2 linked regions of the Arabidopsis thaliana genome follow. The protein of the gene in region 1 interacts with the protein of each later gene in a pairwise test. Each region holds a gene or a part of one and is shown on either strand. Other genes may lie near its edges. The genes, in order: SGT1B and BON1.

Region 1 (5,250 bases):
ACTGCACTGACTTCCTGACTGCGAAGTACCAGTTTCTGCACTAACCGAGCCCTTGGGATCTAAACAGGAGCTTGAAATCCAATCAGCAAAATAGGAGCTTTCTCCAAGCACTTTGCGCTGAAGTTCTTTTTCTTTACCATTTCCTAGGCACAATGACCAGATCGTTATATGGGGCCTCCACTGAGAAGGTTGTTCAACATCACAACAACTAGACTCAACGCGAAGAAGATTCTGCCTCAACTGAACAAAACAAAACGTTGATTTCACGGAACGCTTATCATCAGGGGCAGTAACAATCTCACCGAAGTTTTTATATGTAAATTCACCATCTATATATGACATAGTAAACAGCACAGCAGAACCACTACCATCCCACAGCACAAAAGTTTCAGAAATACTATCATCTTTATCACCTTCAATAGTTGATGTACTAGAGTAAAGTATCATTGCTTCTTTGAACAGAAAATTTGAAGAATGCGAATCATCAACAAAAGATATCTCTCCTATTGCCTCCTCGCGATTCAACAACCAAAAGACACACCTACTCTTCGAGAAAAACGCAACAAGATCCCCTCGAGTTATTACTGATACAGCAATTTCCCCTTCACTCAACCAGTTTCTAGACACTAGAGAGCCTTTGCTCGGTTCAGATTTCTCTGACACTGAGACCAACTGCAACCTACCAAACGAATCAGCCATAAGCAATGATTCCTGCTCATCTAACTGAACCACGCCCATAAAATTCAAACAACCAATAGATAAATTCCCATGGAAAACTGTATGAACAATAGTAAGAGTGTAAGTATCAACAACAACCACCGTGCATCTCGACTTCTGAAAATCAGTATCTGCTAAAGTCTCAGCCCCATCAACATCGATATAAGAACAACCAACACATACATATCTAGGCTCTGATGGCAAAGTAGACAAAATCGATGGACTTCCAACCCAAGGAGGTAATTTTCTTCGTTTCCTACACTGACCACTACTTCTACTCCATACACACAAGACACCATCAGTACAAGCACTGATCAATGCACAACAGTTAACAAATGGATCCGCATTACCATTATCTGATGCAACAACTCCATTACTTGAAAGTATTGTAGGATCACAAATAGCAAGATCCACTATTGGTGAAGTATGGCCACACAACATAGCAATCGGTTTAATCTCATGATGAGGGAGACGAGTTACAGAATTGGATTCGGAAGAAGAAGAGATGCTCCACCAGATGATTGACCCATCGGATCCACCGGTATAGAGAGTCGGTGGATTGGTTAGAGAGGCTGTGGCGGTGACCCGATGAGACGGAGGAGCACGAGACCATAGGCAGGCCACAGATCGGCACTTCATCGGCTTGAATCAAGCGGTACAAGCATCGACCGAGTCAGTGAACGAGTCGGGGTGAGAGAAGAAGGAAGAACGAACTGGTAAACGACGTCGTAACAGTAATCACGACAAATATATCTGTACATATTTAGATGGATTTTTCGAGGTTGCAAATAAATTTTTTAAGGTAAATATTTGGCAAAAGTTTGATAATTGATATTTTAACTTTACTAGATTATTATCAACTTAAAATACTTAAATCTGTGTATTGGACGACGGGTCCTAATCTAGTCAATATATAAATTATAACTTGTTAAAATATATCATAGTCTAAATTCACAAATCACATTGTATTTGCTAAACTATGAGTAAACGATTACGATATAAACAAAATGAGTAGAAAATGATTATTTTAAATTATTGTAGTTCTCTATAAATATCTTTACCATTAGTTTTCTTTCCTTTTTTCAGTATTATTCTTTTGTCAACTAATTTATTTGTTAAAAAATCTGGACTTATCAAGAATCAATCTTATGTTAAAAAATAAAATCAAAAGGAAATTAGAAAATAAAATAAAATCTAATTACCTTTTTGTTTTTGGTTATATGACCTAGTAGAGGTATTAAAACGTTCTTAAAAGAAAAAAAAAATCCCAAACACAGCAAAAAAAAAAAAAGCCTAGAGGAATAGAATCGGTCTCTTTCTCTATAATCTCTCTCTCTCTCTGACTTGTTTGTGTTCTCTCAAATCCTCTGATAAGAATCAATGGCCAAGGAATTAGCAGAGAAAGCTAAAGAAGCTTTTCTAGATGATGACTTCGATGTTGCTGTTGACTTATACTCCAAAGCCATTGACTTGGATCCCAATTGCGCCGCCTTCTTCGCCGATCGTGCTCAGGCCAACATCAAAATCGATAACTTCACTGGTATAAATATAACTCTCTTCCTTACCGTTAATATCATCGTTAAAGATTGAAACTTTATTAGATGTATTGCTTCGTTGACGCTTTTGGGGTTCTGGGTCTTGTTCTTTTGTCGTTACTTTAATTCGATCTGTTGATAGTGGAACAAAGTTTTGATTTTTGTTATTGGTTTGGTTTAGTTTTAGTTTTAGGGTTTCTTTTGTGAGGTTGTTGATTCGGATAAGAAAACTTATTTGAGTAATTGTAATTGTAGTTACTGTACTTTGATTGAATTGTTGTTGTTTGATGATTTGATTTGATATTTTATCTTTTTGTGGTTTCTATGAGCAGAAGCTGTTGTAGATGCGAACAAAGCCATTGAGTTGGAGCCAACGTTGGCAAAAGCCTATCTCAGAAAGGGGTATGATATTTTCACCATCTCTCTGTAGTGAATGATTTGATGTTATGTTCAAATTTGATTGGAATTATAATTCTATCTTCTGATTCTTTGCTACTGTGTTCGCAGCACTGCTTGTATGAAGCTAGAAGAATATAGTACTGCTAAAGCAGCCCTGGAAAAGGGAGCTTCTGTTGCACCGAATGAACCAAAGTTTAAGAAGATGATAGATGAATGCGATCTTCGTATTGCAGGTATGTTACATCAACTCCATAGCTTAAGAAATTAGTTACTAAACGATTTTGGGTATTTGTCTGCGCCTAGGGCTATAATTTTGATATAGTCTTTGTATCTCTGTTCAGAAGAAGAGAAAGATTTGGTTCAGCCGATGCCACCGAGTTTGCCTTCAAGCTCTACAACACCACTAGCAACGGAAGCTGATGCTCCTCCTGTTCCAATTCCTGCAGCACCTGCCAAACCGATGTTCAGGTAGTCTGGTTATCTAACATGTAAATTCTTCTTTAATTTCCAGAATCATTTTATACTCATAACTTTATTGCTCAACAGGCACGAGTTCTACCAGAAACCAGAAGAAGCGGTGGTGACAATTTTCGCCAAAAAAGTACCTAAGGAGAACGTAACTGTCGAGTTTGGTGAGCAGATTGTGAGTATCCTTCAATCAGAGAATTCATGACTTTTATCTGAACTTCAGAAACTATCTCTCTTTGTAATTTAACACTGTATTGATTTGAGATGTCTATCTTGGCTTTATTTTGGTGCAGCTGAGTGTTGTCATTGATGTTGCTGGAGAGGAAGCTTATCATCTCCAGCCGAGATTGTTCGGGAAGGTATATTTTATTTGACATATGTAATTACGGTGTTTTCACACACACTTTTACTAAATCCTTCTTCATGGGTGTTTTTCAGATAATACCAGAGAAGTGCAGATTTGAAGTATTGTCGACCAAAGTTGAGATCCGTCTTGCGAAAGCAGAGATAATCACCTGGGCCTCCCTTGAATATGGTAAAGGGCAAAGTGTTTTGCCCAAACCCAATGTCTCATCAGGTTTGTCTCAGAAGATACCAGCTTACGTTTACTATTTTATTCTGAACCACAATCGTAAAACCTTAAACAAACTGAACCCAAAGTGGTCTCTCTCTCTTCTCATTTGATTTTATGTGCATATGCAGCGCTGTCGCAGAGACCAGTGTACCCATCTTCTAAGCCAGCAAAAGACTGGGACAAGTTGGAAGCTGAAGTGAAGAAACAGGTTCCACAAACGCTAACTTCTCATCCTTAACACTAGAGGCTTTGCTGTACTTTGTTCTTTCTGCTTATCACTTTTGAATTTCGCAGGAGAAGGATGAGAAGCTTGATGGAGATGCAGCTATGAACAAATTTTTCAGCGACATATACTCGAGTGCAGATGAAGACATGAGGCGGGCAATGAACAAATCATTTGTGAGCAAATCTATCTTTGGTCTTTAAAATTTTGGTTTAATAACTCTGCTTTGTTCTTCGACTAATGAGATTTTCCTCTCGGGTGGTTTTTGGGTTTGACAGGCAGAGTCGAATGGGACGGTACTGTCGACAAACTGGAAAGAAGTTGGGACTAAGAAAGTGGAGAGCACTCCACCAGATGGCATGGAGCTCAAGAAGTGGGAGTATTGATCTTCTTAAAATCCCCTTTTCTGGTTTTTGTTAAAAAAAAGTCTGACAAATCTTTTGAACTTTTAAGGTGTTTTTCTTTTTTGGTTTCTGCTCGAATTTGTCTCTCTCCATTCTTGCGTTGTGGTCTCAAAGAACGTTCTGATACTTTGATTTTGTATTAGAAAACTAAAACTCGCAAGTCTGTTGTTTTGGAACTTTGTTCTTTTATCGAGAGGCTTATCTAAATATTTCTTGACATAATTGCATTGTGGTCTAAAAGGTTAGTTGTATAAGCCCAACTTTCTTTAGTTAAAACCGATGTGCATCTATATAGTGAGACAGTATTTTCACCTTTGGGGTTCCTGGTCTAGGAACACTGTTGTTGAATCCAAATCTTTCTTTCTTCTCAAATGCCTTAAGGATTTGAAATGAACATGTTAAGCTATCATCAACACTCATCAATGCACCAGCATTGTCAAACTCGCCACAGTAATTGGGTGCAGAGAATTTGTCTTCACGAAATCAGAGCTACTTTCCATCTTCATGTATATATTAGCTGATTCAGACAAGAAGGATACTAAGTTACAAGTTTGTTATAAGATGCAAGAGTAAAGGATTTCACTTTGCAGGTTGTATCAACCAATTGAAACAGTCTTGTCACCATAAGTGATTTTAGATTATAATTTGTTTCATGCAAGTTTTTGTGAAAGACTTTTATGGAAGTTCATATATATATATATATATATATATATAATACTAACTGAAATACCAACTTAAAAGTAAAAACAAAATCTCCACAAATGGATCTGTTTTACAGTTATAACAACACTGTAAAATAAAAAAAGACAGTAGCAGGAAGAATTCAGAAGCAAAAACAGCTTCAATCTCTCTCTGATCAGCTTCCTACTTATAAGTATTGACTGACTCTTAATGAAGCTTCAAAAAACAAATCCTTTTGGACAGATTTGT
Region 2 (6,075 bases), on another chromosome or scaffold:
TCCGAAAGGAGGTATTTAATTTTTACTCAATGGAGCTCTTGCCTATCTACATATTATAGGCTTGTATGTAAAAAATTTGACATTTGAAAAATTATTCACTCAAAAAAGTCAAGAGCTAACTAAGTTGACAGGTAAAGAAATTATGTACAATGTGTGACAAGTACGGATATAATAATGTAAGACTTGTAAATGTAATCCACAGCCAGTTTGACTAACTTGATCGATCATGTGTGTACTGCGTTGGTGTTAGGTTCAACTACCACTTCCCTAACCAGCTGTTTATTTATGTTTATGATCAAAATTTCTCTAAACTGTAGCTTTACTGTTAAATGTATTTGGTCTTCACTTTGGACACCCTCATCTAAATCTTAGATCACATGTGATACCTAACTATTCATTTATTTGACGGAAAATTTATAGTGTGATCAATAGCCATTTGTTCACGTTTTCAACATTTTGATAACATAATTTTATTATTTTCAATTATCCGCAAATAATGCAATATTCATTAAGAAAAAAAAATCATTGTTTTAGTTTTTAAGAAATGATTCTGATATATATGATACACATGTTTAAAAATATATTAAATTAACAAAATAACAACTATAAAAAAAAAATCTACAAAAAATTGTTTTTGGGAATTCTATGGTTATTATCAGTCTCTTACATAATTGATATAACAGTCTTTACCTTTTACTTTTTGGACACTTTCTCCATATGTCAAATCATTAGTTGAAAATGCAAAACAATATTCATCTGTAACTTGAATGTTTTTTTTTTTGTTGGACGTTCACTATTCTCTATCAATAGAAGAAATTAAGCTGCACAAAACAGATATCTTCAAATTCCAAGTATTGATGTAAAAGAAATCAAGACAAATGTGTACATCAGCCTCTTCATTCGAAACTTACATCCCACATTCAGACATTTTTATTATAAAAATGGAAAAAGCTTATGTAATCGCGCAAAACGACAGCGATTTTTAACCGCCGCAGTGGTTTATGTAATGTATAATATGTACACACTTCATTTACACACGAGACGAGATCATTCATGGAGGAATCGGTTTCATATTACGGATTCTCATATACGTCAAAAACTGCGAAGGCAATTCTGCTAGAAGCGCTTGTACCACTGAGATCTCTCCATCTACAAAACCCACACACAACACATTAAAACTCACCAAACCAAGAACTAGCGTTCTCATGCGTTTCCCTAAAGTTTCACTCTAAGAATCAAATAAAACTCACATTGGACATCTCGTAGTGCCACAAACTGAACAATGTCTCGTGAAGCCAATCGCCCGCTCGAACTCTCCAATCTTTCTCCTTTATCTGCGTCTAGTATCTAAAAACCCCCACCAAAACAAAAAAAAAGTACAGTTTACACAAGATCATATGTAGTTGTAAATCTTAAATGTCTTATTTTTTATTTGTTACCTCCATCTCTTTAAAATCAGCTCCTCCAACTCCTACAATGAGGATTGATAAGGGCAAATCCGATGCACTGACTAATGCGTCTTTTGTTTCTTGAAGATCAGTTATAACACCATCCTGAAACAAGAGTTTATGATTTATGTAAACAATGTTTGATTTGTTATTTTATGTGATCTTGGCTTTTCTTTTTATATATATACTCACTGTTATGATCAGTAAGACGTAATATTTCCGTGAACCTTGAGCTAGCGACGCGCTGGCGATCATTGCAGCAGCGTTGATCACTGGACCAAAAAGGGTAGGCCCTGCAAGAGAGACGTTGAAAAGGGCACTGGTGTATGAAGTCATGATTCCTTGAATCCCATCCACCTGAGAGAGAGAGAGAGAAAAAAAAAAGATACTTTTGATGTGTCAATCCAAAAACATCAAAATTTAGTCTTAAAGACCAGCGAGTCGAGTTTGTTTACCTCAGAGTATGAACTGCTTCCATTTAGATTAAAGCAATGTGAAACTGGAGCGTCGATTGGACGAGCTCCGAATCCCCAGGCAGGGAAACGTTTGTCTGAGTCATAAAACTGCAACACTTCTCCAACATCCATTATTGCCTGAGTTAAAAGAAGAGATCATGAAGGTTTGTTAGTCACAGTCGATGCTAGTTACAAGAAAATGGAATAACACTGAGTCCTCACTCTCTGGTAGGCATTTAATCGTCCAGAAGGATCAATGTAGTGCAAAGAATCAGGGAGGCGGGGATTTCCATTTGAAGCTGAAGGACAAAAGAAATGTAGAGATGTTTAGATTATATCCTTTTTGCATGATGTATACGTAACAACAACATTACATACCCAATCAAAGTTTTTAGGATTTTCCACAGTGGTGCAATACATACCTGTGAAATCGATTGCTACCATAAAGTTTAACTCAAATCCAGATGCCAAGTACTCTAGGAATGTGTGGTGGACAGTCTCGGTAAACTTGTCCACAAAAAGTTGGCTCTTTAACACCTAAAATGACCATAAATGGTATTAGATAGCTTATTGAAAAAGGCATGAAAATGTTAGGAGACCTTTTCGTATTGGTTTATACCTTGTTTTGTCCAGCACCAGTAGGCAAAGAAAAATTGATTCCTTGGCCCGCCAAATGAAGTTTTTCTAAGTCTGAAAGCGATTTCTGAACTTTCCTGACCACCCAAAATAAACGAGTAATTATGTCAGCTAACAGCTAAAGTCACTCCAAAAAGAAGATGGACTGAGCTCTAAGCTGTTGATTACCCAATCAGACTGTGTTTGCCATTGGAGTTAAAGTCTGAGCATTCTATTATCACTGGACTGTCCTGCATTATTACATTCTATGAATCAACTTGCATCTCGAACAGAGAAACATACTTTCTAATCATTCAGTTACATATTACTGGAAGCTCACATATACGAAATCTCCCGTACCTTACTTCCCACTTGTTGAACACTAAGAAAGACTGGCTTCCAAATAGGGTTAAGATCATTCTTCCGGACTTCAGTTTTAGACACGGGAATTGGAGTTCCATGCTCTACAATCTTTGATACCACCAAAAAGGGGTCCTAAAGTTGAGCCACAACAAAAAAAAAGTGTTATATTGATGTCAGAACTAGAATTTTATTAAAATGGTAAAGAGAATAAACAACAAAACTTACACTTTTTGAAAAAAGATCCTTAGATTCCAAATTCGAACATCTAAATACTATCTCTGTTGAAATCTTAGAAGCAAGGGACTCCTCAGCATGGATGATAAGCTTTCCGTGGTGAGGCTGAGCCTGTGGAGCAAAGCCATCTTTGCGCTTGAGTTCTAATGTGCTCGTCCTAGTTGATTTTGTGATTATCTGCGTGGTTGAAAAGTTAAATATAAAGTATTCTCTCTCTCTCTCTCTTATAAGCTAGGCAATAAAACAAAATTTCTGATGTGCCTCTCAGAGAACCAGCAAAAACAAGTGCACATATATTGTCAATGTCAAAAATGATACCTCAGACAATGCACATGTTGCCTCACCAAGAAACTGCTGTTCGTCAAGCTTAAGCATCTGAAAAGTATTAACATATTGAGAAAAGTGAACATCAGATCAAATGAAAATGCAGGCAGTAAATAAACAATTACCTCCTCTCTTGAATTTTGAAATTTGGTGTCAACATCATACACACGAAACCTGAGTATAAAGAAACCAACACAAAGAGTCAGGTAAAGGTTCATCTCTTTCCTCAAGTCACACAAGATAATAAGAAACTTACACCAATGTCTGCACAGTCTCGAAATGATAAGCGACTATAAATTTCTTAATCCATTTCGGAGCTAAAGAGTTCAAAACAACTTCACTGCGGAAAACTTCTGAAAGTGTTGCATCTTTTTCTTTTTGATATACAACAACCATAGGATCACTCTGCAAAAAAACAAAAAACAAAAAGTTTGTCATTAACTAAAATGACCAGCTATGAAGACTAATTCAATTTTGAATAACAAAGTAACCTTGGAGAGCACGTCGCGGTCTCGCAAATTCGAAGCTGAAAACGATAGCTGCATCAACAAAAAACAGTATCAAACATGAATCCTCAGAATATACAGGGAAAATCGAATTTCGCAGTTTTCTTCTTTCAAACGAAGCACACACATATCATTGTTAAACGTTTTTTGGCGGAAGTAGAGAAAAAACACGAGAGATAGATGATAGTGAAGGAACCTCTATCTGCGAGAAGAGTCCGTTGAAACCTTTGGACTTGAGATAGTAATCAAGGGCGTCGTTAGTCGCACCGAGAGCGGCGGAGGAACCACTTCCACCAACGCCGGCTGTAGCACCAGCACCGGAGGCGACATCGGAGCAACAATTCCCCATAATTTTTGATTTCCCAACAAAAAAAACTGCGGATTCAAAAGTACCTGGATCGAACAACAGAGACAAACATTTTTTTGTGAGGAATTTCGGAAGAAGAAGAAGATTCAGAAGAAAATGATAATCTGGGAGAGCAGTAAATGGGACCCACTTGTCTAAGTCGCGCTTTTTCTTTTCTTTTAATTGACTCGCTCTGTTTTACAGCGTCTCCTTCTTATATAGGTTTTTTTTGTTTGTTTTCATTTGATTAATATTGACTTACGAAATATCCAAGAAACGTTAAGCTGTTTTCTGAGAAATTCGCTCTCTTTTTTTTTTTTGTATTTATTGTAGTAAACGACGTGTTGGTCAATATCAGATTAACCTCAGACATATTTAATTAGAGCAATTAACTTCTGTGACATAATCTTTCCAGCTTACAATATCAGAATATTGTTATCGATTATAATTGTTATATCAAATACATATTATCTATGAAATCCTTTATAATATTTTATATGACAAACAGTTGGTCTTTAATAATTTTATTTGCAATGCACTAATAGTATATATATAATTCTTTTTGCCAACTGGATCTGTGATGCTTTTAGCGAAGAATTGTAATAATTTTTTTATTATTATTATTTACATGAAATTTGAGAAATTTTCAGACGAGTACAAGTCGTTGTTGCTATGGGGACATAAAGTGAGCAATAGGAAATAGTGAGAGAGTTTCACGTGAGAACATTTTACAAAGATAATTAGTAGTTTATTACCATGGAGGTCATACTTTGTTTATCTTTAACACAAATCGTAAGGTTCACACAACTCAGAAATTTTGTAGAAAAAAATCCCACAGATCATATCAGTAAATGATGATAGATGGGGACTATAACTTTCAAAAAGTGGATAAAGATAATATAATAGACATCTATTGAAAGAAGCCAACGTTAACTCCAAATTTATCAGGAAAATTTGCATTTTTCAATTCCAATTAAAAAGACCTCGAGACAATTCAGAGAGTTGGATCTGATCATGTTTTTCCCAATTTCAGTATTTTTTCCTTCGTCAATAATATTTTGATGATCTGTGACACAACCAACAAAGCTGTAAACATACGGGACCCTTGACCCAAAAAAAAAGAAACAAGAGGGCAAGACCAGAGCCTTAAGTAAATTCTGTAGCAAACAAAACAAAGTAGGTGGAAAGAGTGAGATAGGTGTCTTTTAAAATCTTTTTTATTGGAGAAGAAAGAAATAGATAAAAAGTTTTTTTGAAAGAGAAAGAGAAAAAACAAAGAACATGTGAATTGCAGTGCAAGTGCTCAAACATACATAGTGGGAGACTTAGGAGTCTTTTCTTTTCTTTTTTGTCTACCAATAGATATGGCTTAGGGTTTAGGCCACTTAATCTTAGAGCCAATAAGCATATTCTTGGTCCCTAGGTTTCGTTTGAGAGAGTGTTTAAGATGAACCTTTTTGAAGGTAGTATTCTTAATAGCAAATCCCAAGTATTAAACATGACCATACTAAAAGAAATGTTTTAGCATAAGTAATGATAACAGAGTTATAATATGTTTTATTAACTTTAAATCCCAATCAGAATTGCATTTCAGATTGCACTCCTGAAACGGGACTTAAAGAAGTTTTGATGGTTTGAGGAATTTCCTCATGCGCAGCTCAGAAATGAATATGATCAAACCGTAACATAGAACTTTTAAACTTACAGTAAACGGAGCTGGAGACTCTAGTTTTATGTCCTTGACCTTCTTTTCCACTGAGTGCACCAGTTCGAGTCCATGCTTC

The links.
Region 2: the proteins of SGT1B (region 1) and BON1 interact in a two-hybrid assay, tested with the Arabidopsis thaliana proteins (one study listed by BioGRID).

What each region holds. Positions count from the first base shown.
Region 1 is NC_003075.7:6,850,567-6,855,816, reverse strand, and holds SGT1B (phosphatase-like protein), read left to right. Parts: upstream 1-1,904; 5' UTR 1,905-2,097; coding exon 2,098-2,257; intron 2,258-2,584; coding exon 2,585-2,654; intron 2,655-2,759; coding exon 2,760-2,884; intron 2,885-2,992; coding exon 2,993-3,119; intron 3,120-3,197; coding exon 3,198-3,294; intron 3,295-3,412; coding exon 3,413-3,478; intron 3,479-3,557; coding exon 3,558-3,696; intron 3,697-3,821; coding exon 3,822-3,901; intron 3,902-3,987; coding exon 3,988-4,092; intron 4,093-4,194; coding exon 4,195-4,302; 3' UTR 4,303-4,633; downstream 4,634-5,250. Other genes in the region: AT4G11270 (Transducin/WD40 repeat-like superfamily protein), read right to left, coding at 1-1,356; AGL52 (AGAMOUS-like 52), read right to left, coding at 5,250-5,250.
Region 2 is NC_003076.8:24,854,857-24,860,931, forward strand, and holds BON1 (Calcium-dependent phospholipid-binding Copine family protein), read right to left. Parts: upstream 4,486-6,075; 5' UTR 4,443-4,485; intron 4,417-4,442; exon of another isoform or gene 4,339-4,416; coding exon of another isoform or gene 4,295-4,338; coding exon 4,142-4,294; intron 3,979-4,141; coding exon 3,931-3,978; intron 3,845-3,930; coding exon 3,696-3,844; intron 3,614-3,695; coding exon 3,565-3,613; intron 3,491-3,564; coding exon 3,434-3,490; intron 3,293-3,433; coding exon 3,107-3,292; intron 3,014-3,106; coding exon 2,879-3,013; intron 2,770-2,878; coding exon 2,708-2,769; intron 2,617-2,707; coding exon 2,523-2,616; intron 2,441-2,522; coding exon 2,326-2,440; intron 2,203-2,325; coding exon 2,126-2,202; intron 2,042-2,125; coding exon 1,904-2,041; intron 1,806-1,903; coding exon 1,641-1,805; intron 1,554-1,640; coding exon 1,440-1,553; intron 1,348-1,439; coding exon 1,251-1,347; intron 1,150-1,250; coding exon 1,052-1,149; 3' UTR 805-1,051; downstream 1-804. Other genes in the region: AT5G61910 (DCD (Development and Cell Death) domain protein), read right to left, coding at 1,052-1,149, 1,251-1,347, 1,440-1,553, 1,641-1,805, 1,904-2,041, 2,126-2,202, 2,326-2,440, 2,523-2,616 and 9 more. UniProt on the Arabidopsis thaliana protein: Negative regulator of cell death and defense responses. Negative regulator of several R genes, including SNC1. May have effects in promoting growth and development.